2 linked regions of the Danio rerio genome follow. The protein of the gene in region 1 interacts with the protein of each later gene in a pairwise test. Links are inferred from orthologs where the notes say so. Each region holds a gene or a part of one and is shown on either strand. Other genes may lie near its edges.

Region 1 (3,608 bases):
CGTACACTTTTTTCAGATATTTGATTATCTAATAAAAAGCTGTGTATCTGCACTAAATTTATCATCATTAACAGGAGTTCTTGCTCAATCAAATTTATTTCTGTGTGCTTTACTTGTATTCTGTAGTAGGCAACATTAAATAAATGATGAGGTTTATTTTATTTTACTGAAGAATTTGTGAGGACTTGATATACTAATGCGTAACGTCCACAATAAATAAATGATCAAACTATAAATACAAAGAAATCCAAAATAAATAAACATTTGCTGCTTCTGTGAAAATGAGACATCAGCCTTGAACTTTGTTTTTGTCATTTACTGTACATCGGTTATATTTGTACAAAATTAATTTTTGTGTCAGTATAATAATGCCACATTTGAGCAGTGTTAGTGAACTGGAAGTATAAAGAAATGTTTGTCTAGTACTTTTTATTCATACCAATATACTGCAAGAACATCTTTACACTTCTGATCAGACTTCAGTACAGTATGACGGTAAGAGATGTAAACATGCAACTTTTTTGTTCCATATATGTGAGCGAAGATCTCTTTTTTTCTTATAATTGCTGATCAAAAATGAAGTGTTTATGTGACACAATTCTGAGAAGTATGGGTTTATATCTAGCTATTTCCACTTAACTTGCAAAAAGTCAGAATTGTAAGCTGCCAGATTTTTTTTTTCTTTTAATTACTGGAACAAACCAAATGTGTGTACACGTCACGCAATTTGGAGAATATACGCAAAGACACAAAGATGTCAACTGTCAATTGCAAGTCATTCGTCAAAACTGTCAGACACCGAGTCACATTTAAGTTTTTAATAATATATTATTCAGTGGCAGAAATGTGCTTCCCTATAACAAATGGAGCACAATATAACATGAGTGCAACAATTTTGCCACAGTGCATTTAAAGGTTTAAATTTCAATAACTATTTTCAGTAGAGCAATAACTATAAGAAGACTTGAAGAAAGATGTAGCCATCAAACTAGAGTCCCACACACAATGTTTGGAAGACAACTTTGGGCAGGATGTGTAATAATATTTTAGCAATGAATTAACTACATTCTAATAAAGAATAATGGTTGAATTTGTGTACAATTAATCAAATCAAAATCAAAATGTGGAACTGCTAGAAGTAAAACTCTTCACACCATGAATCCCAAAAGCTCAATGCCATACCTTGAAATACAGTTATCTGCATTCTGGATCTTCTTCTTGTTCATTCCTATACCAGTAGAAGGATTTCTCAGTGAGCTTTGTGAAACCATACCCTTGGGTTTCATGTTCCCCCTGTGAAAACACGAATGATGTTGGTGTAAAAGGGTGGAGAAAGTGTTGGGATTCAGGATTGGTGAGGGATTGTCTTACTCAGAGGGAGGGCTGGTCAAGCCGGATGAGTTGTTTCGTAACGGAGAGTATCCTGTTGGTGTGCTCTTTATTGAGCCTGTGGATGAGGGTTTGCTGCTAGGAATTCCTGAGGAGGAAGAGAAATGGACAGATGATTTTGATGAAAACATCTAATTATTATTGAAAAAATTGCTATTCTATTTTCTTTAGATAAAAATGCAAAATATAAAATGAACTGCTCTTATACTTTTTTCTGTGTTGTACTATATTTATATATGAAACTATTTTATAGTTTAACCAAAATTTAGAAATCAATTCAAAGTTTTCAGCAATGTGACTTATAGTTATGCATTTAAGTAAAATATATTTTTGGTTTTATTTTGTAAACTTTTAATGATAAATGTACCAAATTCATTGGGGTATATGCACAGCTAATGTTTTTCACGATGACACGATGACACGATGGCGCAGTGGGTAGTGCTGTCGCCTCACAGCAAGAAGGTTGCTGGTTTGAGCCTAGGCTGGGACAGTTGGCCTTTCTGTATGGAGTTTGCTTGTTCTCCCCATGTTGGCGTGGGTTTCCGCCGGGTGCTACGGTTTCCCCCACAGGTCCAAAGACTAAGCTAAATTGTTCATAGTGTATGTGTGTGAATGGGTGTGTGTGGATGTTTCTCTGTGATGATTCGCAGCTGGAAGGGCATCCGCTGCGTAAAAAGCATATGCTGGATAAGTTGGTGGTTCATTCTGCCGTGGCGACCCCAGATTTTTAAAGGGACTAAGCCGAAAAGTAAATGAATGAATGAATGAATGTTTTTTTTTTTTTTTTTTTTACAGCATTGATGTGGTAATGATTAAAATATAATCAGTAATATAGGCTTAAGCATCCATTTAGTTGTTAAGCAAAAGATGAAAGAGAGAAGAGAGAACTCCATTGAAAATACTTGGGTAAAATAAAATTCCATATTTTCAAGACATGGCGGAGAAAAATGGAATTTAATGCAGTGCTTCTTGTCTGGTCTGATTGCTGCTTTATATCATATATCAATAAGGCAGTGAAGATCACTGATTAAAAAAAAGAATCAGATCTTAAATGTGCCAATTTCGTAATGGCGCATCAGTTTAACTGTCTGAAAATTAAATGTCTGTATGCACACAGGTATGTGCCAGAAAATTAGAATAACGAGGGAAAGTCCATTTATTTCAATTATTTGTTTGAAAAAAGTGAAACGTGTGTTATATTAGTTCACTACACACAAAGAGAAATATTCAAAGCCTTCATTTTATTCAATTTTACTGATTATTGATTAAAGATTAAAAAAAAAAAAAAAACTAATCCAGTATTTCACAAAATTAGAATATCATGACAAGTTTAACATTGTGTGGCTCCCTGTGTCTCAATCTAGTCCACTAATTAATGCAAAGCCTTGAAATTGTCTCAGTCTGGCCAAGTAGGCTTCAGAATCATGGGGACGACTTCTGACTTGACAGTTGTGCAGAAGACCATCATTGGAACCCTCCATAAGGAGGAAAGGTCTCAAAGGGCAATTGCAAAAGAAGCTGGACGCTCTCAGAGTGCAGCATCTAAGTTTATTAATAGAGTGTTGGGAAGAGGGGAAAATGTTGCTGGAAAAGGTACACAAGTATGACCGCAGCCTTGAGAGGATTGTCAAGCAAGGGCAACTGAGGCTGGTCTCAGAACATCAAGAACCACCACATACAGCATGGCATGGGCTACAGCTCTAGAATTCCATGTCAAGCCACTACTGGGCTAAAGAGAAAAAAGTACTGGTCTGTTGCCCAGTGGTCCCAAGTCCTCTTTTCAGATTAAAGCAAATTTTGTATTTCATTCATTCAGGAAGAGCGGAGAGACACAAAAGTCAGGCTGCTTAAAGTCCAGTGTGAAGTTTGCACTGTCAGTGATGGATTGGAGAGCCTTGTCATATGCTGGTGTGGGTCTATTGTCTTTTATCAAGTCGACAGTCAACGCAGCTCTTCATGCTAGCTATGTAGTAACAAAATTGCTAAAACTAAAATGGAAATCCTGAATGCAAAAAGAAAAGTCACATATGTGTGTGTCAAACCCCTGCATAAATAACGACAGGGAAAAAAGTAGAGGTACGATAGTTGCATCAAACTGTGCAAAATTGAATCTTGATATAAATAACAAGGGGGAATAATTGGTTAAATCGGTCAATGACAGGCCAATCAATAAAATAAATGCAAGTCCTTACCTGTGCCAGCACCCTGGCCATAAGCTG
Region 2 (3,837 bases), on another chromosome or scaffold:
TTTGCGTAATGAGTTTGGATCCGGACACTCTGCCAGCAATCGCAACCACCCTCATAGACGTTCTGTTTTACTCGAACAGGTATGAAAAGTGCTGATCCGTGCATTGGTGATCTTTTCACTGCTTTGAGTATTGTTTGGCAGCAACAAAAGCAAGTCAGCGCTGTCATTTACTGCCAGCAAGAGGTTTTTTGAATTAAATCACTTTCATACATTGAAAGTGATTGCACAACTTTTCTGCTTTTAAAATTTTGTGATACAGTAGTTCACCCAAAACTTTGAGTTTTTTCAGCATTTGATTGCAAAAGAAGATATTTTGAAGAAAGCTGAAAACTCTTAACTTGTATAGTAGGAAAAACAAACACTATAGAAGTCTCTAGTAACAGGACCAAACTTCTTCAAAATATCTTCTTCAATGGAGAGAGAATAAGGAATAATAAAGGAAAAGGCGTCTGAAAATGTTTTGATCCTGTCCTCTTTTGACTACTTACAGAGGTAGTCTGCATTTGATTGCTTTTGTTGTGTAAAATTTAATTTTATTGAATTCATTTAACCCTCTGGGGTCTGAGGGTGTTTTGGGGCTCTGGAGAAGTTTTGACATGCACTGACATCTGTGTTGTTTTCAGTATCTTAAAAACATATAAATGGCTAAAGTGTGATAACACTGTAAACAGCACAAGTTGGGCTACAATAATACCGAAGCAGCATGTTTGTATGTGTTTGTGTTTTTGAGAAAGAAACGTTTATGCGTGGTTAGTGAAAAACTAAAATTTTGAAGTCACTGAAACAAGGCCACGAAACACACAGAGAACATTTGTGCACATTTCTCATCTCTTTGTGTTTTGTATTTGTGGAGTTTTAGTGCATTTTACCGACGCGTTTCTAAAAGCAGATCACGGAGAGAGAAAAGACAGAATGCGTACACTGTTTGTTTTCCTTATTTTGCAAAAGCAAAGACGTTTGTTGTTGTTGTGAGTGTACACAACAAAAAGTAGACACATAACAGATTCAATTGATGTATTGATCTTATCTGTACGATCAAAACTGAAAGTGTTATTTAAGTTCATTTCAGCAGTTTGACGCCACCACAGGTCAAAACGCACATACGCGGTCTTCGACCCCAGAGGGTTAAATGGTCACAAAAGAGTACCTACTTTCTATGACCTAAGATGAAACACCGAAATTAAAAAGGTATACAAATATATGAAAAACTTTTTATTTTAAATGATAAATGCAGACATATTCAAAGAAACCACAAAGTCAGTTAATGTGTGTGTGTGTGTTGATCAGGGGTGCCCAAACTTTTCTTATGAAGGGCCAAAAACCAAACTTGATTAAGGCCAGTGGGCTGAAGGTAAACATTCAGCAGTTGCCATAGGTAATTTCCTTATTTATTTAATAATATTTAAAAATAGCTAGAAAACATTGCTTTATATTAACTAATGCAGCATATTTTTATTGCATTAAATTTTTAATAAACTTATTACAGTAAAAACTATTACATTTATAACAGAATGGAGTTACGCTTGATTTGCTTACTGATGTCGTCTGCATAATCCATCGAGTGACGTTATTTACATTTTTTAAAATCTGACTTATTTACAACATTTAAGTGAAACGTTTACAATCCGCTTGTTAAGTGTGACGTCACGCGAAGCGGCTTCCGGGTCCAAGCGCTTTATTCAACTGAATGGGGAGACTCATGAAATGGTAATAATAAATGTTTACAAAGTGATTTAATGCTTTCGAAAATCACGATTACAGTATATATGTCCATGCCTAATATCCAATGGCCAGAAAGTAATAATTTTTTTTATATATTGTTAAATTTTTGGTATTTGTGATGCAGCAAGCCCAGAGATTGTTGTGTACACTATGATTTTATATAAAATTAACTTTTAATGTGTGATAGGAATAAAACGTGATCATAAACGAATGATTTCTCCACTCAGATGAATGGCGGCTTGGACCCGGAAACAGTATACATACGTCACCAACACGTCATCACTTAACAAGCGGATACATTCATCAAACAATAAAACAAACAAAAAAAGGTTTCGTCAAATTAAAAATGATGATCTCTTTTAAAGGCATTCACCCAAATCCTTTACATCCTTCTCACTCTCTTGGGATGGCATGGTGGGCCAAATAAAAGGTTACAATAGGCCAACTTTGGCCCACAGGCCCTACTTTGGGCATCTCTGGTTTAGATCATGGTACGTGCAATCTGTTTTCATCTGTCTTTTTTCTTTCTGTTTTTCTTCTGCAGTCCTAAAGAGGGCGCCAGTGTTGACCAAGACATGGAGTGCATCAAGTTCTTCTCTTTCTCTCTGATTGACGGATATGTGTCTTTAGTGATGGACACAGACGCACAGAGACAGTAAGACCTTCACATAGACACAGCCAGGTTGTAAAAACAAGATTTACCACTCAAAGACCCGCCCACTCATATTTCTTGACTGGACAAGAGAAACCAATTGGTCATAAAAAATAATTTGACTAAAAAACATTATTATATGTGTATGGATATATTAAGATTTAATACTTGTATTTGAAAAAGTGTCTTCTGGAGCAATTTTAGAATATGCATGACTGACTAAATTGAAAGTTCTTGTATTGGCTTTTATTAGTTTTGTTGTCATTTGTACTTTTGTAATTTTTTCTATAGTGGATGTTAAAGAAAATCTTCTGTTGTGTAAAATATTTATTAAACATTTATTAACACTGTTGCCAAGAATATAGCCAATGCTGCTGATAAGTAGTTAAAACGCACACACGTACACACACACACACACACACACACACAAAATCAAACAAATGAATGGACAAAAAACAGTATGATCCTCACAGAGCCACCAACAGATTATCAAAGCATTATATGTTTCACTATTCAGTCTGAGAAATATATAATTGTGTGTAGGCATGGCTCGGTTGAAGATTCTGACAGTATGATAACCTTGGATAAAAATATAATGGTTTCACGGTTTGACGGTATTGTGAATACTGCTCTAAAACATATTCTTTTTAAATGTCTGGGTTAAAATTATAAACTTTTTCCCCTTTTGAACACAATATATATATATATTTTTTTTTTGAGAAACACTTAAAATACTTTGGGGCAGTAAACATGTCAGGCTGAATAATGAAAATGAATCATTGACTTCTGCTGTTCTTATTTGTTTCAAAAACACAGCTTTCTTTACACTTTAAAATGGCATCTTTGGATATCTTTTCTGCTGGAGATGTTGTCCTAAAAAATGTAGATAAAAAATCTTACACATACCTTAGAAAAGTTATTAAAAAATTTTTTTGGCGGTTTTAAAAACTTGACTTTTCTTATCCACGGTATACCTTAAAAATGGTTTTTGTCCCATGCCTAATTGTGTGTGTCTGTGTGTCAGATTCCCAGCTGATCTTCTGTTCACCAGCTCCTCTGGTGAGCTCTGGAGAATGGTGAGAATAGGAGGGCAGCCTCTTGGATTCGGTGAGATACATTGTTTTTTTCTTTTTATTTATTTATTCATTTATTTCTGTTCTACATTCAAAGGCAACATATGTCATCATTTAAAAATAGTTTCACTTAAAGGGATAGCTTACCCAAAAATGAAATTGTCGTTTACTTTACACTCACTCTGGTGGTTGTACATTTTCATGATTTTGTCTGCTTTTGTCAAACACAAAACAAGAAGCATTAAAAAAAAAAATTCAAAGTTGTTGCAAACAATTTATATGGGTTGAATTTAAACAAATTAAATTGATGTTCAGCTTAATTCGTTTGTTTAAAATCAGCCCAAATAAATAGTTTACAATCACTTACCTTATAAAAAATATAAATATAAA

Evidence for each region.
Region 2: the proteins of zc2hc1a (region 1) and castor1 interact in binary tests that used the Homo sapiens proteins (3 or more experiments, as listed by UniProt). The two-hybrid records come from large-scale screens. The link is inferred for Danio rerio from reciprocal best matches to the Homo sapiens genes ZC2HC1A and CASTOR1.

Annotation. Positions count from the first base shown.
Region 1 is NC_133199.1:26,659,721-26,663,328, forward strand, and holds part of zc2hc1a (zinc finger C2HC domain-containing protein 1A), read right to left. Parts: coding exon 3,582-3,608; intron 1,478-3,581; coding exon 1,372-1,477; intron 1,294-1,371; coding exon 1,183-1,293; intron 1-1,182.
Region 2 is NC_133180.1:12,718,912-12,722,748, reverse strand, and holds part of castor1 (cytosolic arginine sensor for mTORC1 subunit 1), read left to right. Parts: coding exon 1-79; intron 80-2,266; coding exon 2,267-2,377; intron 2,378-3,398; coding exon 3,399-3,481; intron 3,482-3,837. UniProt on the Homo sapiens protein: Functions as an intracellular arginine sensor within the amino acid-sensing branch of the TORC1 signaling pathway. As a homodimer or a heterodimer with CASTOR2, binds and inhibits the GATOR subcomplex GATOR2 and thereby mTORC1.